Schizosaccharomyces pombe: one gene and its partners. Changing the gene in region 4 together with the main gene of any one other region gives a genetic interaction. Each region holds a gene or a part of one and is shown on either strand. Other genes may lie near its edges. The genes, in order: rho1, gef3, imp2 and rgf3.

The links.
Region 1: of rgf3 (region 4) and rho1, extra expression of one rescues a mutant of the other (dosage rescue), as found in Schizosaccharomyces pombe (4 studies listed by BioGRID).
Region 2: of rgf3 (region 4) and gef3, a mutation in one rescues a mutant of the other (synthetic rescue), as found in Schizosaccharomyces pombe (one study listed by BioGRID).
Region 3: mutations in rgf3 (region 4) and imp2 impair growth when combined (synthetic growth defect), as found in Schizosaccharomyces pombe (one study listed by BioGRID).

What each region holds. Positions count from the first base shown.
Region 1 is NC_003424.3:4,222,064-4,226,364, forward strand, and holds rho1 (Rho family GTPase Rho1), read left to right. Parts: upstream 1-2,007; 5' UTR 2,008-2,116; coding exon 2,117-2,187; exon of another isoform or gene 2,188-2,259; intron 2,260-2,422; exon of another isoform or gene 2,423-2,518; coding exon 2,519-3,056; 3' UTR 3,057-3,761; downstream 3,762-4,301. Other genes in the region: plasma membrane TRP-like calcium ion channel Pkd2, read left to right, coding at 1-70; protein tam6, read right to left, coding at 585-830. UniProt on the Schizosaccharomyces pombe protein: Involved in the regulation of cell wall growth and actin cytoskeleton organization. Activates (1,3)-beta-D-glucan synthase.
Region 2 is NC_003423.3:2,068,626-2,073,203, forward strand, and holds gef3 (RhoGEF for Cdc42/Rho3/Rho4 (Gef3)), read left to right. Parts: upstream 1-1,545; 5' UTR 1,546-1,760; coding exon 1,761-2,666; intron 2,667-2,722; coding exon 2,723-3,394; 3' UTR 3,395-4,054; downstream 4,055-4,578. Other genes in the region: ribosome biogenesis protein Rrs1, read left to right, coding at 1-268. UniProt on the Schizosaccharomyces pombe protein: Has a role in the control of cell polarity and cytokinesis. Involved in bipolar growth and septum formation.
Region 3 is NC_003423.3:3,346,202-3,350,952, reverse strand, and holds imp2 (F-BAR domain protein Imp2), read right to left. Parts: upstream 3,054-4,751; 5' UTR 2,973-3,053; coding exon 2,904-2,972; exon of another isoform or gene 2,810-2,903; coding exon 2,718-2,809; exon of another isoform or gene 2,653-2,717; coding exon 980-2,652; exon of another isoform or gene 932-979; coding exon 753-931; 3' UTR 501-752; downstream 1-500. Other genes in the region: protein Ndc80, read right to left, coding at 1-28, 78-105; protein tam11, read left to right, coding at 4,136-4,324; SPOM_SPBC11C11.01 (U2-associated protein), read right to left, coding at 4,665-4,751. UniProt on the Schizosaccharomyces pombe protein: Required for normal septation. Involved in the disassembly of the medial ring during septation.
Region 4 is NC_003421.2:1,238,198-1,245,656, reverse strand, and holds rgf3 (RhoGEF for Rho1, Rgf3), read left to right. Parts: upstream 1-1,623; 5' UTR 1,624-2,444; coding exon 2,445-6,272; 3' UTR 6,273-6,936; downstream 6,937-7,459. Other genes in the region: RhoGEF family guanine nucleotide exchange factor Rgf1, read right to left, coding at 1-394. UniProt on the Schizosaccharomyces pombe protein: Stimulates the exchange of Rho1 GDP-bound form into GTP-bound form. Regulates, via interaction and activation of Rho1, beta-1,3-glucan biosynthesis and cell wall integrity during septation. Involved in the regulation of contractile ring assembly.

The DNA of each region.
Region 1 (4,301 bases), on a different chromosome or scaffold from region 4:
CCGCATCTCTGAAAATAATAACAACGCTGAACGTCGACGCAAACCATTACCTAACAATGCTTTTCGTTAAACGTGGATGGAAAATGTTGTGTCGTATTACATATATATTACATTCCATCTACCTTACACATTCTTTCATTATTATACAATTGTTGTCTCTGAGATTTTTTTAAACTATAATTTTCTACAAAGTTTGGGGTAAAAGACCTTTAAAACAATTCACACAAGCATTCTTACAATGAACTCGACGAGGAGGTTCAATAAGCAATCAATGTCTAAATCTTATTTTTAGACAAAAGTCAACTATTTAGTGTATTCGCATCCTTTTTTTTATTTATGGTTCTTTTTTTAATTATATTTCAGAATTTTCCCTTCATTTCTGCTTCTTTTCTTTTATTCCATAATTGTTATAGTGTATAGGTTTAGTTACCATTTAAGCATATTTGTTGGATGTGCATCAGAAAGCAAAAAAACTTCACCCGTTTGATTAAAATGCAATTTAGTAAAAAACATTTACTTCTGATTCAAGTTACTTCTTCACGTCTTAAGATAACTGATAATAGAAAACGACGTTTATTAACATTTTATTGAAACAATCTATAGACACCGGTAAGAATAAATCCATAAGCCATTCCCAAAATACCGAATCGTTTAAGCTTGTAATTGGGTGTATTCAAAGGAATTCTAGATTGCGAATAGGCATATATTCCTAGACCTGTGAAAGCGCCTGCGCCCACCAAGCGGCATGGCAAGCAATCGTACTGTTCAAACCTTGGATCGTCTAAATCGACGGGTTTGGGAGTTTGTTGGAAACTTGATGATGGCATCATCGAAAGCTATCAGTTTAATTTATAAACTATAAAAAAAAAGTAACCGCGTAAATATATATGTGTATAATTAAGAGGCCACACAGCTTTCAACCACTTTCACTTTATAAACAAGATTAAAGCACTAAAAGGTAAAGTTTACTCAACCCGCTTTTTCTTTTCTTGTCAACTACAAAATGAAATGTCAGCGATCAATAATACGGTATCCAATTTGATAGATGTTCAATAATAACGACTCAGGACTTTTTTCTCTTTCAATTTGTGGGAAATCTATAGGGCGCGCTGTTCAAACTGTTTAATATATTGGTCTTATGTTCTCCAGTACTGAAATGAATCAATGGCAAAAGTTAAAAGAGACAAAGTAGTGAGTTAAGAGCTAAGTTATAGATCTACTGAAACCGTCTGTTTTATTTTAACTATGAAGAAGAATAAAAGAGGCTAAAGTTACATTTCATTTTTGTATATTTGTAGATCTGCTACCGGATCAATATTTTTTTGGGCGATATAATTTTAGTAAAATTAAAGTAGGATTTTATTGATCTCGAGAAATAAGAGAGCAAACAAAACGACGATAGAAAGAAAGAGCATCGTAATATTGCTTTATTACTTCAATCTGACATGTAAAATTATTTTTCGGCACCAAAAATTGCCGCTTTTTGAATTTAGGAATTCATCTCACATTTGCATTTTACAAATAGAATGCTGTTTAATTTTATGAGTATACAATTATAATTATAGCTATTTATACGAAGCTTTGCTTCTTTATGTCTCTTCCAAAAGTTTCTATATTCCTGCTATGTTTATTATTTATAAAATACTGAAATAAAGTGTGTACGTTAAAATAGGATAAGCGGATTAAATGCGTTCCGTTATCTTCGAATATTATGACTAAACTGAATACGTTAACGAAATTTTTCCGCTGGTTTCTGCTTTTTTTGGCGTTTGTGATTCAAACAAAAAAACGTCTGTTGACATCAAGTCGGAGTGGAGACAATCTTTTTGTAATAAAACTGTTTTAATTGCACTTTACACTCTGTACAGGCTCAGCCTCGTCCATACATACTCAAAGGGTTCATCTATAAGAGCGCTAGGGCAAAGTAACGAGATTTAGTGAAGTGTAGTAGCGTCTCCTTCTTTCCTTTCGTTGTTACATGAGCCGCTGACAGCCTAGTAAATAGCTAACCACTGCCACATCGAAGGAAAGAGCGGTGTCAGAATTTGAGTCGAAAAACGTTTATTTACGTCGAAATTTTTCTGTCTAGAGCAGGAGAAAGTAAACAAATCTAGGGATGGCGACAGAACTTCGCAGAAAGCTCGTTATTGTGGGAGATGGTGCATGTGGTAAAACATGCTTATTAATGTAAGTAAAAATGGTGCAAGCGTCGGAAAGGTAGTAGAAGGGTAAAGTAGTTGCTTGGGCCTGTTTTAAATTGGCAAGGGTTTACATCTCTTGCTTAGCATGGCTGGAGAAGAAAATTATTTCCGTAAGCATGTTCATTGCCTCAAGAAAATAATGAAAGAATCCCCATAGAAATGAGACTTAGATGGGGTTTAGATTACATTTAATAAATGTTCCGAGGATTTAATTTGCACTCCGTACCCTGTATTTCTACTTACTCTTTGCTTGCTTATCTGCAATGTTTCACGAGTCTGTGTCATTGTTATACAACTTCTAACATTTTTCTTTATAGTGTATTTTCTAAAGGAACCTTTCCCGAGGTCTATGTTCCCACTGTTTTTGAAAATTATGTAGCTGATGTTGAGGTTGATGGACGCCACGTTGAGTTGGCTCTTTGGGATACGGCTGGACAAGAAGATTACGACCGTCTACGTCCCTTGTCATATCCTGACTCACATGTTATCCTTATTTGCTTTGCTGTTGATTCTCCCGATTCTCTTGACAATGTTCAAGAAAAATGGATTTCCGAGGTTCTCCATTTCTGTTCCAGTCTTCCTATTTTGCTTGTCGCTTGCAAGGCTGATCTCCGTAACGACCCAAAAATTATTGAGGAGTTATCCAAGACTAATCAGCATCCCGTCACCACAGAAGAAGGTCAAGCAGTAGCTCAGAAGATTGGTGCTTACAAATACCTTGAGTGTTCTGCCAAGACGAATGAAGGTGTTCGTGAGGTTTTTGAATCAGCCACTCGTGCTGCTATGCTCAAACACAAGCCCAAAGTGAAGCCCTCTAGTGGAACTAAGAAGAAGAAGCGTTGTATCTTGTTGTAAACAGCTTGTTTCCAAATTTTTTAACTTAGAGAATTTATCTTTTCTGTTTTTATACATCTCTTCAGTCGAAGCACATTCAACAAGTTTCCGTATTTTTTCGACTTATGTTGATTTTTATTTCACCTTCACCTTGGTGGGAGTTTTGCATTGTGTGGCCTATCATGTTACATAGTCATTATATCCTCTCATTCTTTCCTTTTTACTTACCTCAAGTCGTGCCATTTAGTCAGCTTGGCAATGATTTAAGCGCATTTCATATAGCTGTTCTACCATTTCCCCTCACTGTTCTGCAACGTATAGGCACCTGCAAGGAGTATGCGTCTTGTTTTCAGTCTTTGCTTACTTTGCTATACTCTTCGCTATTAGTTTGAAGAAAATTTCCCTTATTGCCTTGTTATTGCATGGTTTTATTTTTCCTATAATACCTTGTTTCTTTTGTTAAGGATTGCCATCATTATTATCCTTTCTACCTAGTCAAAGGACTTGGTAAATTTTTATAAATCGGTAATTTAAAGAATATACACCTCGATTGAAACTCGATCAAAACCCGAATATTTTATAAGCTTTCTCACAGCACGTAATTGCTTATTATCGTGGAACTTTAGCTGGGTCTCCAATTTTGCACTAGAATTATTGTAGAAAATTGAAGCGACATTATCTCTGTTGATAACCTTGCTGGTATACAGGCGCTTGGTATTTTTATACACGTTGATAGTCGAAGTAGCAGATAGCCGTAGTTGATGGTTTAAACATTTTGTATTTTGCGGAAATTTGCACACTGTTTATATCTCATTCTCTTTACGTCAAGCATACCAATGTTTGCAATTTCATGTTTTGAAGGTGACCGTTGTTATTCTATCTATGCATTTGTATTACCATTTGATTTTCACTCTGTCTACAGGCAAGATTATCAGATGAAGATATAAGCATTGTTGACTTTACCTAAAAAAAAGGATAATTGCGAGGGAGCAAATAGTGAATTAAAGGGAAAAGAACAAAGTTTTTGTAGCTACTAAAAGCTGTTTGTCTATCTCTATGTGTACCTTTTATAGTGCTTATAAGTAAAATGCAGAGTCGAAATCTTCATGCTTTAATGTAAAGCATTAGTAAGGTTACATATTACAACAGAAATGGGAATCAAAATCTTAAATCTAAAAGTTGAGAGGTCTTAACAAAAAAGCTAACTCAACTTAGCTTTACAATTTATAAATCAAGGAAACAATACTTTATCAATTGTATGTTATG
Region 2 (4,578 bases), on a different chromosome or scaffold from region 4:
TCCTCGTGCTAAACCTTTACCTAAACCCAAGCCCGAAACCAAATGGCAACGGTTTGCTCGTATTAAAGGTATTGCTCCTAAGAAGCGGGAAGGCAGGTTGGTGTTTGATGAAGCATCTGGTGAATGGGTACCAAAATGGGGTTATAAGGGTAAAAATAAGGAATTAGAGACACAATGGCTTGTTGAAGAGGGAGAAAAGGAAAAGAAGCTTACTTCCAAGCAAGTGAGAAATACCTCAAAAAAAATCAAGCGCTCTCGTCGCCATTAATTGGTCCTGCTTAAAAAAAATTTTTCTTAATTTAAAAATTTACTATAATTTAGCTATTCATGGGTTAAGTGGTATAATATCATTTTTATTTTGTTATTATCGTTTGTTTTTGTTTGCTACAACTAAAATCCCTTCTTCAATTGGGATATCAACGGGTACAGAAGGAATATGTAAGACATCGGTTATGTGGCTGCTTTGTTTACACATTTTTATGTGTTAAAAATTAACGAGCACTTTTTTGAAGCTGCTACTCGAAAATCGAACGTTAAAATGTTGAATGTTTACGAGTTAAGTGTAAAGTAAGTTTTAACAGCAACTGTTTTGATACACTGTGGGATTTCCTCCAATTGAATTTTCTAATAACCTCTTGTAAAAAAAGTTTCATACAGTTAAAATGCGACCATATCGTAGTTAATTATTATTTTCTGTATGCAGTCTTAAAAGGCTGGAACATCATATTAAGAGCCCAACTCATGGCTAACTGATATGCAACATTTTTGAAATGTTCAACAAACAGAATTTCATCAGACTCAACAATAACAATCCTTTCTAAATTACTATATAGATTGCAACATCAGTCTAAATATCTGAATGCATTAGTGGTGTAGCGGTAACATTGGAGCTTCCCATGCTCTAGCTCCGGGTTCGACTCCCGGCTGATGCAAATATAGCTGTGAATTTTTAAAAATATAATTGTTTATGTTCTAAAATTGGTTTTTGCATTTTCTATGAATGATATACTCAATCAAAACATATCCTTTTGAGTGGTAAACATAAATTTTTAGTAGATTATATAAATAAATGTGCAAGCCATACTTCAATTTCTAATCATTTTTAAACCGAGTGTATAATAAGTTTTCTAATACTGACTTGTTTATTTAAATATTTAACATAATAATTAATTTTGATATGAGATTGATGCTTTTAGTAGTAATAATAAAAAAAATTTAAAAAATGCAAATAAATAGAAAAAAAATTAAAGAAAAACTCATTAATCCAAAAAAAAGCTTACCAATATTATCATTTGTTTCTCGGTTGGCTACTTCGTCGATTTTATGGTGTATATCATTAATTTTCTAAGTATTGTTTACGTTCGATATTTTAAGCAAATACTTAATGCATCCCCAAAGACCACTAGTTAGTTTTAAAAAATAAGAAAAGAAAATAATTTATGTACAAATAACTTTGCTTATGTTGATAAAGTACAATATCATTGTAGTCATTCTTTCAAAAGCGGAATTCTTTCCTATATCCACTAAGGTAACCTGGTTATTCTTGCCGTCCGCAACAACAAAGAAAACAGCTATTCAACTATTTCATTGATAAAAGCGTTACTCTTTGGATTAAATTAGCATTGTATTTAAAGAAGAAATCGACTCATCAACGGCCTTGCTACTCTGTTTTAGCTTTGTGAGATCTAATCAAACGCGCTACGAACTCCTAAGTGCCCGCGTTTGAGTAGATAACTCATTGAATCAACAGCCGATTAAAGATGAGTAACCCAAGGATGTTCCAAAGCCGTGGAAAAAGAGTTGTTTCAGATAGCTTGCCTATAGCCAATTCGACACACACTTTAGAAGATACTTTGAAATTACGGCCTGACTGGACCATAGCGTTAAGTCAACATGAAACTGAAACAAGGTCGACAAGAACTAGTTGTAGCACTACCACAGAATCGACGATTGCTATGAGGAGTAAACAAAAAGCCATTATTTCTGTTCTGGAGGAATTTCGTGATTCAGAAGCCGCTTACGTTCATGATCTGCATGTAGCTCAACGGTACTATGCTGACCGATTATCGGACCGAGTAAAAAAAAGCGAATGGAAAGATGTGTTTGAGATTTTTCTGGTATTGTGCAAGCAAGCATCACTTTTCGAAATCGAAATGCACAAATCCTTGAACGACGAAATCAATTACATTTTGGATGATCAAGATGCCTGTTTGAAGCCTAAGCCTTCCGTTGCACAACTATTTCTTTCATGGTTGCCCAAGCTATCTGCTGTCTATGGTCGATACTGCGTGATTCAAGAAAACATTGGCAAAAAGGTGGAAAAATGGATGAAGAACTCATCAATCTCAGAATATTTGCAGGAATGTGATAGCATGGCAAAAATTGAAAGTAACTCTTGGAATTTAGATAGTTTTTTAGTAAAGCCTGTGCAGCGTTTTCTGAAGTATCCGCTTTTACTAAATCAGCTTTACCGATCTGCTTCACTGGGTATCATTTCCGACTATGTGTTGCTCGGGGAAGCTTGTCACAAATCTGAGATCGCTAGCCAAAGAATGAATGAGTTAAAAAGGAGACGAGATATTATAATTACAGCCCTGGATAGCGTCTCGAATTCCCAAGAGGTCTTACTTCTCTCCACAGATTCAATTGACAAGAAAATTGCAAAGGTACGTCGGGTTCAATGATTTTCTATCTTTAAATTTTTCGACTAATTGTTTTTTAGCTTCAAAATTCTACAAACATTTTCTACGTACCTGAACATGAGCCCATTCTAGCGTTTGTCCATCAACTGTCTTCATCCTATACCAATCTTTTAAATTTACGAAGTGCTATCTGTGATTGGTTAAAATTCTCCAGATATCATTACCTAAAATTCTTTACCTTCGTCGAAGCCTATTCTGTGTTTTGTAAAGACACTAAATCTGCAGACAAATGGGCTCTCATTAGTGTAGCATTAGACAACATTGCCAAGGGTGCAGTGCTTCGTTTGACAGAGCAATGTCAAACATCCGTTTTGAGACCTATTTCCAATGGTATTCTTTTCTTCCGAAACCCCCTTTGTGTTACCGATGTATGGATCAAAAAAGCTACAGCATTTTCCAAGCGACGCCAATCTCAGGTTTTTGAAGAGGACCTTGAAAGCTTCCCTTTACTTAGTAATTGCCTTTTAGAAGAACTTCCTCTTTTTTTGGAGATGGCGCGTAATGTTACCGACGAATGTATATTAGCATTTGCTCAAATTCAAGCTACCTTTTACGATACCATTCAGAAAGTCCTTGAACCTGTCGTTGCAAAATTCAACTTAACTGACCACCAGGATATTCCATCGATTGAATCCATAATGGATTTCACCAGTTTGCGGTCTAGTATGGAGTCCTCCCCAAAATCAAAATGAATACACGATATTACGGATATTCCAATGACTTCCGTTACTAATCGACTTTTTGAACTTAAGTTATTTCTCTTTCATTTTTTTTTGACTAATGTGTCTCTTTTTATCACGGTTAAAGGTATTTATTTATTGGATCAATTTTTACAAAATCTTTCTTTTATCTAGGAGATACGTGCTTACTTTAGAATTTGGTTTTTATTAATTTGCTTTATCTTTTACGTATCCTTTTTCATTTCATTTTTGGATGGCAATCTAATTTTGTCACGCAGAAACATTTCCATTTTCAGACGCTTTCGTTTTTGTCGCATCTCCTTCTTTAATTTTAACATTCTTTTCTCTTTAATTTTCGTCGCATTTGTCAGTTTCTTTTGAAAAATACAGCATGCATTGTATTTTTACTACGACCGGATACCTTTCGTGTTAATATTTTACTTTCATCGATATCTTTTCAAAACATGATCATGAGAGGCATTGTATTCTGTTTTTGATATGCCCAATTAACTAATATTTTTCTTCAAAAGCTTCATTGTCTCTTTGCCTTTTATTATTAGTTTATCTATTTATTATGGATTAAAAATAAGGAATTCACATTTTATAATTACAAAACAACAAGGAGCTGACTAACTTTTACACCTTCTTTAAGGAAATAACAAAAAATTGCAAACTATTATAAATTATCTTTCAGTATTCAAATTGACATTTCAAACTCTTATGTCTAAATCTCTGCTTCAAACCTATTCTTGCTTCTAAACTCAATCTTCTTTCTCGACTTTTTCGGGAGTCACTTTTTTAAACAAATACTAATAAAGTAAATTGCTAGAGATACCTTTATTCACCTGCTCGTCTTTGCCAATTGCAAAGTACCTAATTGGCGGATTCCGATCGATACATAGTATGGTGGAATCTAAAATTTTTATACTTACAGCATTGCCGGTACAGAGTATGGATTACATTCTGTAATTAATTATTGCATTTAGTACTCATATATCGTGTCACTTCTTTTAATTCAACCATAAACCATTTCTTCGATGATCTACTTGAAATATCAGTTGGTACAAGTTACACATAGGTTGCAACATTTCAGTGCTTGACATAGGATATTTTTATATGAATGTTGGAAATAATGCATTTTATTGTAAACTTGAATAGGATTCCTGTATGCCAATTATCGTCGGGAAACGCTACGC
Region 3 (4,751 bases), on a different chromosome or scaffold from region 4:
TTAGATGAAGAAGGTGCCTGTGAATACCCTAAACTTATTGTTAACTTATTAGTCAAAAGAAAAAAAAGAAAACATACGCCTCGCGTAAGAGGAAGAATCTTGCATTTATAGTAATACAAGCAGATTGTTGTCTTTTATCGTTGGAGACGTTAGTTATAACAACAAAACCACTTTGCTAAGTAACAAAAATAACAGTGAATAGCGATTTCCAATATAGAACCGCAAAAATTTATAGTGAATCGCTTTGCAACTTAAAAAAGATATCGACAACGGCAGGATTCGAACCTGCGCTCCCAAAGGGAATCCGCTGGGCTACAGAATAGCAGGCGAACGCCTTAAAACCACTCGGCCACGTTGTCACAGCTTACTAGGAAATAGTAATTAGTTATACATGAAGCTATTATAGACCTGTGTGTTAACTTAGATTGGTAAAGATTTGATGTTTTTTAAGTTATTACAGAATTTTAGAAGCAAACGAGAATTACTAGAAATATTTAGGTAGAAAATGGTGCAATGAATGACAATAATTCAATCATTTTGAACATAATGCTATATATAACAATCGGTATCATTTTAATCTGCAAAATTCATAAAGATTTATAAGATAATAATCTTATAATGTAGATAACTTAACTAAACGTGTAGCATTCTAAATATCCTATAATGTAAAACAACCAAAATTAGAAATCTAGTATTTTAGATTTAAATGAGAATGAGAAAAGATGAGAAAATGCGAAACTATAATACGAAAGCTAAACCTCGATTTCACGAACAAAATTTGACGGAAATTGCCCACGGTTATGGTCATCCTCTCCAACGACAAATCCCTCCCACCAGCCGTCTTCATAAAGCTTAAGAACTGCAATGGTATCTCCCTTCCTGAAGCTTATCTCTTCGGGTATTGCAGCATCATAATCATATAAAGCAGATACTAAATTCAAGTTAGTAATTGTAATAGCGATGGACAGATTAGACATACCATAACCAAGAATACGTTGACCATCTGTACTTGTTGGATTATCAATACTGGTGTCACCGCCGTCTGTAGGATATGCAGGTAAAGAAAGTCGGTTAGACGTGTTTCCAGTAGCTTTTGTATTTATTGTATCATCAACAAAGGAAGAGTCCCGATCAGTATAAGGCTCGTCATCGGTAGGTGCAGTACCACTTGCTGGATCAACTCGAACACCGAAATCATAATTTGGCTCTAAATTTCCTGGTGTTAAGGAACGAGGAAGTCGGCTGGCATTCTGAGAAAGGGAAGAGGAAGGACGTTTTGGTGACCTACTTTTCCTCAATGTGAATGAACTTCGAGATCCATTCTTTCTTGAATCATAAACGGGTGAAACCGCACGATTCTCCATTTGTAGTACACTACCAAATTCTTCCTGAATTTGTTGACGCCGTGATGGAGTGTTAACATTTGGGCGGGAGTCCTCGGTGAAAGAAACAGAATTAGGACTTGGTAGAGAACCAAGTTCGTTATACCTTGGTGGTAGTGTATTAGAGTTAGGGAAGGCACCAGGAGCAGCAGGCGTAGGATTCTGTTTTGGCTCTTCTTGTAAAGAAAGATGCTTCATCTGTTCATCAGCCGCTGAAGTTAAAGGAGAGTCATTTCTCGGACTTGATAATGCATCCGGAGCCGTATTACCAACGTTTGGAGTCGAAGGACGACTCGTTAATTTAAACTTACTCAAAAAGCTTTTCTTTGGAGAGCTTCTACCATTTTGGGAAGAGTTAGAAGAAACAGTGGTAAGCGATTGAATTGCACTAGGAGTATTAGGAAGGGTATTTTCGAAGGACGACTCATTACGAGCGGTGGCAGAAAGGACGTATGGACGATTCAATGGCATGTTGTCATTTTCTATTTTGGTTTGGGCCCGCTGAAAATTAGCCTGAACCAACTCTACAGAATCATCGGGAACCTCGCCCTTATAATAGTCATAAAATTTTGGAGGTTGAGGAATTCCCGTTCCTGTAGATTTTGCGTCAATAAATTCCAAAACATCCTGAGAGACACTGCACTGTTCAAGATTTTTGCGAATTCGTTCACATGCTTGATCATCATTAAAGCAACTACGAGAGATAAGTAGTGTAAATGTCCACATGACGCTTTTCAGGAAATGTCTTCTTTCTTCTTCAATGTCCTGAAGTTTGTCACAGGTTGACCGCCATTCGTTGGTCCAACGAGCGTATGAATCTCTGACAGCTGCTACAGCTGATTGATAGTCAGAAGAACTAGCAGTGATAGCATTCTGAGTCTTGTTTAATTTCGCATTGTTCTTCTCTAGCTCCTTTCCGAAAAGCATGTTTTGCTGAGAAACATAGTAATTTACTTTCTTGCACAAGTAATGGTATTTGTCTTGAGCTTTAACAAGAGCTTGATGCTTGGAGAGTTTATCCTTATGAACTTTTTCTATCCCCGAAACGATCATCTTTTTCTTGTCCTTTAAAGAGGCAGCGTACCGCGTAAACGCATTTTCGACATCATCCTGAAGCAACTGAGAAATCTGCAAATGAGACTTTGCCATATTGTCAACTTCAGCTTTCATAACTTGGACTGATTCTTTGAGGCAACCAGTTTCCAAAGAACTGAAGGTTGTTCGAGACAACTTTGCCATTCGCTTGGCATAATCTTCTTCAATGTTCGCTCTAAGGTTGAAGTTAGAATAAACGATCATAGCATGTTAAACCCTGCTTCACCTCAAATTTCTCACCTTTCATGATAAAACGACCGAAGCTCTTCATTAATGTGTTTCACATCGCTAAAACGCGAAAGTAAAGCATGATAACCCTCATCATTTGCACCCTAATAAAGAATGTTAGTTAAGGTGTTGTGTTTAACACAAAAATCGAAAGTTTTGGCAGATAATGAGCTATCCACGTTGGCTTAGACACCATACCCAAAAGTAATTTGAAAAACTTTTATCAGGCTTTGCTGAAGATGCATTAAAGCTTAATTGTTGAGACATGTAAACGGAAAAAAACACGAATTAAGAGATTTTTCAATCTCGCCTTTATGGCAGTATTCTTTATTCGTATATGGTGGTGGTGTTGATTGTAAATGAAACTAACAACGAGGTAAACAAACGGCAACGCGTTGCCAGGTGCAGCTTTTCATGTCAACAATTAACAAATTTATCAAGAAAACCGATGTAATGAAGATTTTTCAGCCTTAAACTATCAAAAAAAAGCAATAGAATATTGCAGTGGAAAGATAAAAAGCCTTCAAATGCTGAGATATATATGGTGAACAATTGATTCATTCAAAGTCCACTTTATTCATCCTTGAGACTCTATAATTGTTATCTCTGTTAAGCGCACAAGTTTTGCTCACTATTTTGTATTGATTATGTGTGAATACTGTGATTTGAGAAGCGACCCAAGGCAGTCCTGAAAAAAAATACTTACCATAAACTCCGGTAAGCGAACTTATAGACTTAGACATTATGCTAATAAAACAATGATTTAGCATGTATGTATTTGCAGACTTCACGTTCTGTATAGCTATCTCCCGTCTCAAATCGTTTTACTATGTAAAATATTAAATTTTTGAATGGAATGCAACATGCTATTAATCAAAAACTTAATATACTATGCAAGCGGTTCAGGCGTACTGAAAAGTAATATTTTTTAGATAGCTCGATTTGTACCTGCAGCATCATTCGATGTGAATAAAAAATCGTATAATAATTTGTTTACTTAGTGAAATACACTAATCGAAAAAATAAATAAACACTAAAAAAAACATAAATACAACGTTTATGTGAGTCAAATAGATTAAACATATTCATTTATCAGGTACATACAAAACGCCCTTGTAATTCTCGGTTTTTCTTCCAATTTCCATTATTTTCAATCTTATTTTTTATTTCACGAGATCGCATTTCTTAATAACCCGACTTACGTCATGGGTTGGCGGTAGGGACGCTGATATGTTTACTATATATACAGCAGCCGCCCGGCTTCGGCGGTTTATTCTTTAACAAAACAACTGGTGATAAATACTCATTCTATCACACTTAAACACTAGGTGAGATTAAAGTTATTAATTGCTTTTGTCCCTATACATTTGCGAAGTTTTGATAATACGACCAACCTTGAATTTTTTGTACATCCTCTGAAATTATAAATAATGGAACGCGAAGGTAAAGAAGACGTTCGTAAAGCCGACCACAAGATTGTTTATGGTATTGAACGTGTGCGACATGGAATTAACAACTTTTTTGATGACGTTGGAAAAGCAGTAAAGTCGGAAAGCGATACTGCCGACTCCAAGAGAAGTGCTGAGGCGAAAGCCGATGAAGCCCCTGCTAAAATGTAGTGTCTAAAATTACAAGTACTTATACTCACTTTTAAAACATGATCCTCCAACTTTTTGTGATGCTGAACTTTACGATCTTAGCCATGCATGGCGAAAACTGTTTATATATCGAATTGATAAAGCCAGTTTGCACAGCAGCAATAGCATTCTTCGTCTATAAGTTATTCAATACAATGCTTGATGAAAGAGAAAACAAAAATCGTTGTCATTAAAGTATAATAGTATTACGGGTAGTTAAAAATGGATAAATTTAACATCAGTCATACCTTGTTTATATGAAAAGCGATATTCTAAATTGTAGAAGTGTAGTTCTTTTTTATCAATTGCATTCTTCTATTTTCTAGAATAAATCCTCCGCATGCATACGCATGCGCTTTGAGACGAATGTGCCTTGAGTAAAACTGGGTTTGAACTTTGCTTTCCGTTC
Region 4 (7,459 bases):
GTGTGGTGTTTAAAGATGCATATAGAGCACCAAAATCATTTCCGTCTTTAAGAGTCAATGGGACGATCTGGTGATTATTTGAAGTACCAAAAACGGAAGGAAAAGATTCACTGTGCTCAATATTTTTCACAGGAGATGCTTCTCTCTGATGAGTTGGAGGTGCAGGAGGTTGAGACGATGGAGGCTGCAAACTCGTGGAACGAAAGGGCAAAGGTTTCCGAGGAAGCCTTCGCGTGGGAGGAGGAAGAGGTTTTTTTGAGACTGGAGCCGGTTCCATGAACGCAGGAGTACTTACAGTTCTCGCCGGCTCCCGTTTTCTTGGAGCACCAAAAATTTCCTCATAAGCACGCGAGCTCTCATTCACACCGAGTGCATTTGGATGCCGGTAATCCATTGCTACTATAAAAACAATCAGTTTGACGATCGAATCGACAATGCTGAATGTTTCCCGTGAAAACGAGGGTTTGGTGGTGGAGAAAAAGACAAGATAATTTGACCACAAACTTTCTGCGAAAGTAGCTACGAACTCGTTATAACGGTAAGATGATGAAAAATTCTAATTTATACGATTTTCTAAATCAAAGACCATTAATATGTAAATTGCGTATTGCTTGATGAATTAATGTTTTGCTTTAGTATATTGCTTTCACCTTCAATTTCTTTTGCATGGAGGGTTTCCACTCGAAACACATGCTAAAAGGCGACATAAAAAAAGGCTTTTGTTAGTGTTTCCAGAGTTGAATGTTTAAAATTTGATTTAAATTATAATAATAAGTTTATATAGCCGTCCTGGTTCGTTCAATGAAACAATTGATTTGTTTACTTGTCTGCTTAGCAATTTGAGAGAGCAACAGGTATATTAAGAAAAGATTATCCTCGAAGGGAAAAATACGTATACTTAATATATCAGAAGAATTGTTACAGCAGCAGTAAACCGCATTAATATTATGAAGGGATGAGAAGCTATAAGTCATCAGTATGCTGTTTTGGGCTAAGTTTATCTACTTCTTCTATAGATAAGGTGATTTCAATGTTGAATATGTAGTAAAAAAGTCTTGAACTCCTTAAAAAAAAAGTACAAATCTGAATTTTCACTAGTCCTAACAAAGTTAATATCAACATTCAACTGCATCCTGGTCGACTTTCCACTAAAAAAAAAAACGCTTATATAAAAAGGGAAGTCATGAATGAACTCCTTTACTTTATATTGCCTATTGCTTTTCTACTTGCTGCAATTTATGTGCTCACTTTTTCTGTCCGACCAGCTCATAATTGTATTACCGATTTACAAATATGAAAAACATCATCTAAAATAATTAGCTTTAATCCGGATAACCTCAATTGATCGATTTCTATGACTATGCTGTATTGACTTATTTTATTTTAATTGCGTTCGCATTGTTTACTATTCAGCTTGTGCTCAACATCATATAAATTGATCAAATATCTTTTTGTACACTTTATTTGCCCTATTTATCGTTTAAATCATGTAATCTAAATTTGGAAAATTTGCTAGTCAAAGACCAATTTTGTTCTTCCGTCGCGAACATACAACCAGCCATTTTCTTATCCACTCCGCTCGCCGTCCACGAAGATCCCTTGGTGGTGGGTTATAAGTTATTTAACATTTACACATATATTTAAAAACCATAAAGTCCTATAATCTTTTCTTAGGCATCGATTTTGATTTATCCCAAACGTTTCATTAGAAGAGGTTGTTTTTTTGATCAAGTCATTACCTTTCATAATATACTGCTTTTGCTTTCTCTCTTTCTCTGTCTATAAACCTACGAAACTTGATTCCTCTGAAACGCTTGGGAGCTTTCTTTCCTTTTTGGGTTGTTTCAATCAGATCATCCTATATTATTCCTTCCGCCCTAACCCTTTTATTGTGGCATCACAAACCGAATAAACAGACTGTTGCATTGATATTGCGATACAATTCTTTCTTTCTTTTTTTCTTTCTTTCTGTATTCGTAATTTTATGTCAAAGTCTTTTATTAATAGAGGACGGGAGTTTCTCTGGTTCATCGCATAACTTTGAAAGCATCAATCGTTTTCATTCCGGCTTACTATAAAATTGCTTTTTTTGAGGGCGTACGAGATTGGTTTGCATTTTTTGAATTCCATTGACACTGAATTTGTTCTATTTTAATTTATTTTCCCTTATTTTATTCCATTTATTAATTTCTCTTCGCATTTCTTTCTTTTTTTTTATACTCTTCTTTCTCAATTCCTTTTTCTATCTTTTTTCACCTCTCTTTTCTCTTTTGTTGCACTGTCCATCCTGCAACATTTAGTTTTGACCTTTCTCTTTCTTGGATTGCAATTGAAATTGACTCCTATTTGGCCTTAGCTTGCCTTGATTCTTCAAATATTATTGTAGTTCTTTTTTGACCTAGTCATTTTTGGTGATTGTGGTTCCCCCTACCACTTTTTCTTTTATGAAGCTCTCCAATGAACTTTTTCATCGGAGCTCGAAAGACCATGGTGGAAAGAGCCGAATTTGTTTAGACTCTTCAGAGGACACTTATCCTCCTCATTCCTCTTCTCCACCATCTTTTCAGAAACGTCTATCGTTTTCCGACTTTTCTACCACCAGACTCTTTTCTCCTCCTTTTCTTTCTAAACGTTCGAATAATTCTCCCCATCGGTTTTCTTATTCGCCTCCTCAACATCCAGCATCCATTAACTCTCGTAGAGTCGCGTCTTACACGGTTCAGTCATCTCCATCAAGAACAACGTATCGACAATTGCCGAATGAACCTCAAAATTCTGCAGCCTATACTACTTACTCTTCATTTCCTAATGCCTTATTTGATGATTTCAGTCCTAACAACCCGCTTGACACGGACCCCTTTTTAACATCTCCTGGAAACAAACAAAATACTGTAGATTCGTTTCGTCCATTACCTGAAACGCCTGTTTCTCCTGGTGGGTCCTTAGTGCATCCTTTACCACGTCCACCCCTTCCTTCTTCTGTTTCTTCGCATTCTTCTCCTTACAGCACCACATCCTCCACTAGTCTTTACTCTCTATACAATGACATATCGTTATCCTGCTCACCAGAGCCATATCTTCCTTTATCACCTACTCGATCACCGGCTCGCACTCCTAGTCCGATTCGTCTTTACTCGAGCGACGCTCTTCGTCCACAGTCGCCTTTAAGCCCTTCCGTCGAATATCTAACACCCCCAAATCCTTATAGTTTAAAATCTGATATTTCCTCTACAAGACAGCTACCAAAGATACCTGTCCAAGACTATGCATCTGGAAAAATTTCTTCTCCTTTGATAACTCGAACTCACAGACGTGCTCAATCGGAAACCCTTTTTAGCAGCTGTAGAGAACCTTGGTTGGTCGGTAAATTATACAAATGGTGCAAAGAAGAAGTGTTTACTGCTCTTGGTGGCCTGGTCCACGAAGGTGTGTCTCGTCGAGAAGTAGCTCAGGTGATGGCTACGCTATTTACTATTCACATTGCATCTATGGAATTTTTGATTGCTGAAATTATCGCGAAAAACATCCTTGGTGATTGGATTAATTACGGTCTTGTGGAAGTCATAAATCTTGAAAAGCTTCAAATTGCTTTCACATCTAATGAACCTCCTTCTGGTAGTGGAGTACTTCCATTTTTGACCAACGGCGGCTGTTACTCTTACATTTGTAGATCCAGATCATGTCCTTCCAAATATCAATGTTATAGCTGTAGATGTGCTCGTAACTCGTCGCTTGAATTCACTTCTCTGCCAGGACAGAGTAGCGATACTTGGAGCATTTTCTGGAACATTTCTTCTCTAAATTCATTACCATCTTCTCTCAGTAAAAGAGAGATTGCTAGGCAAAATAATATCCACGAGCTTATTTGTAAGGAATCTGATTACGTTGCAGACTTAAATACCCTAGCTGAACTGTTTAGGGACGGAATTGTGCAGCAGCAAGATGCGATTGTTCCCAGCAATCGAGTGGCTGACTTTATTCAATCTGTATTTGGAAATGTTGAATCAATCAGACAATTGCATTCTCGACTGTTCTTACCACAATTAATTATGAGGGAACGTCTCCAGGGCCCAGTAGTTTCAATTATTGGTGATATCTTACTAGAGTGGATTCATGCTGCTAAATCCTCTTATATTAATTATGCCAAACAGTTCCCTTTAGCAGATGAAACTTATAAGCTAGAATGTCAAAGGAATACTTACTTTGCACGTTGGCTTGCTGCTTGTCGATCAGATCCTAGATGTCGTCGGTTGGATTTCCAGCATTTCTTGCAAAGACCTACTCAACGTTTACAAAGATACACGCTTGAGTTGGATACAATTTTAAAGCATACCGAGCAGTCCAGCTGGGATTTTCAATTAATAACTCAAGCTGTCAAAGAACTGAGAGCAACTTGCGAGGAATGTGATGCCGTTATAGCTACCGTACTTGAGGCCAATCGTATTCGCGATCTATCGTATCAACTTCTGTTTAAAAATCATGAAAGTGTCAATCTAGAGCTAAGGGATCCTGAAAGAGAGTTCTTTTTTGAAGGAATAGTTCAACGTAGAAGTGATTCCCGCTTGGATTGGTTGGACATCCACTTGTTTTTGCTCGATAATTACTTGATCATGGCCAAAGCAAGAAAAGACAAACGAACAAATGCTTCAAGATATGTTGTTTCAAAAAGGCCAATACCATTAGATTTGCTTGTTCTAAGCCCTAAAATGGACGATTTTCAACTTAAATCAAACACTAATAAATTTCTTGGCAGTTTAGCTGGCAATTTACCACAGGAATCTCTTACCACTAAGAGTAAAAGGAAGAGTAAGGTGAATCTTGAACTAATGTTCGATGCCACTGCTGAAAAGAATAACGAAAACTCAATGAACTCTGCTGTATTTGAGAAGTCTCAACTTTACCCCTTCACAATAAGGCACCTTGGTGCTTACACCGCTAGTTATACACTCTACGTTGAGTCACTTCAGCTTCGTAAACTCTGGGTTGAAAAAATTAATGTCGCAAAAAAACGACACTCTCAGAAGATAAATATTAAGAATCCGTTTGCATTGAAAGTTGTATCTGACGTTGCCTTTCAGTACCCTCCTTCCGACTTAGTTAATGGAAATGAACCATTAAACAGCTTTAATGAAATTACTTTGGTTGAAGGCTCTTCGATTGATCGCGCACTCAATGAGGTAGCGTGGAAACACCCAATTGTAAGTGAGGAGCTTTTGCCAGAGCCTATTGCCTATGGCGATATAAGTTGTATTGCCCAGTTTAATGACTACGAAGGTCATGTCTCGGTTTTGATTGCTACATCTACCGGTATCTTTTTAGGCGCATTTGGTGATTCCAGTGACATTCGCGATTGGAAAAAGATCTCTAGTCAAAGACGCGTTACCCAGCTTGGAGTTGTTGAGGAATTTGATATCCTATTAGAGCTACGTGACAAAACCCTTTATGCTCATAAATTAAGTCGTATTATTGAAATGGGTCTGATCGAATCCAAAATTGCAGTTGTCATTGGAACTCCGCATGCCGTATCATTCTTTAAAATAGGTAAATTGTCTGAGGGGGCTTCTGTTAAACGTGAGCGAACTTTGGTTTTTTATAAAGAGGGACTCGGTAATACTACAACCATAATTTGCTGTGAACCAGTGATCGGCTTAGGACATAACTATCAGAAAACATATGCCTTCAAGAGAAAAGATGTTACTTCCTTCAGAACTCTGGATGATTTTCACGTAACGGCTAACTGTCATTCAATTGATTGCTTTAAGTATTCAATTGCTCTTTGTCACAATAAAGGCATTGACGTTCTGCGTTTGGACCCTAAATTAGCAGTTGGTTTTCCAAGCCCTTCAGTGCTTAATGATACGTTGTTTCGGAACCGAATCAACAACAGTAAGCCGCTTGGCGTCTTTCGCATCCACGATCCTAGCTTATTTGCATGCTGCTATCAATTCGGTGCCGTGTTTGTCAATGGAGAGGGTAGTATGGTTAATAAAGAGTGTTGGTTTGATTGGATTGGCAAACCGAACTCTGTTACCAGCTGTCATGGATATCTCATTGCATTTAATGATGAATTTGTCGAAATATGGAACACGCGAACTAGGAAACTTAATCAAATTATCCAAGGAAATGACATTAAATACTACCCTAGTAACAGTGATTGGCTAGCCAATGGGAAATATATAATGTTTGGCATGGTTCATCCTCAGTATCACGATCGCCATTTGATACTCGCTTTAAATAAGGCAAAAACAAACTCCTTCATAATTGAAGATTGATAATTATCATATTTATTACAAGTTTTCTTGCCATGATTGTCTTTTTTACTCATCCATACTTTTGAATATCGGAAACGTTTATCTTATTTTGTTTTACGGAACATCCTGCATCTTTCGAATCATATTTTATCGCAGCCTTGAAATTTTATTTCTTCTTTTTTTTTTTTTTTACATTTCCCTACCCATTTTATCACAAAGGAATATTAAAATCTGCATGCATTAACATTTTTTAATTACTTAAAATGATCGCTACTATCATTATGTTCAGTGTTAAGCCAAAATTGGCTTATTGTACAAGTTGCATAAACTTGCCGACTACAGTTGATGAAAACAGAGAACATTGTTGTTTTTTTACGTAACTGGTTATGGTATTCTGCATGTTTTGATCATAAGTTTAAAGATGTGGTTACACATTGAAGCACCATGCTTTCTTTCAAACACTAACTGAAGCAACTAACATTTCTGTATATTTACTTATTGATTATTACCAGGGCCATAGCTGTAGATGGTCAGTAAGCACATAATAATTACTGATTGCGATTATTAGCTAGAGCGTGTTCTTATAATTATTCAGTAAGAGGCATGATTAGAGTGCTATATATAAAATGTAGATAAATAAATGCCGAGTTTAGTTATTTGCTTTAAAAGTTGTGTTCGGTACGATGAGGAACATATTATTTGCGTATCTAGTCACAAATTACTCATATATCTGTAATAGCGGGAGTTTTTTATACAATCATTTTACCTAAAAGCACGGGGGAACATGAAATTTCGATTAAACCGTAACCCCTAATCCTACGTTCATTTGATGTTTTGAGTATTAGTACAATGTATTTTCAATTATTACTTAATATCTTCAATCTTGATGAAAGTAAAGCTTTAAAAATTTGTCAGGACTTTAATTGCAAAAGACCGAGTATATAATGACCTCCATCTATTAATATTATTTCTTTTAAAAGATATATATACCTTCTTAATTGTGATATTAAAATCATTATGTTATAGGAATGTTTCTGGATGCTACCTTAACCTATACTAAATGTTTTAACGCAAATATGATCAAGTACATAAACGTTCGATTAACGCATGCGTTAATCGAATGTTCAAGTGCTTAAATCATTAATTGCTGTGCGTTCAACGGGGAGTACAAAAAGTATCCAACAACATAGTTCTTTAACGTTTTCTCT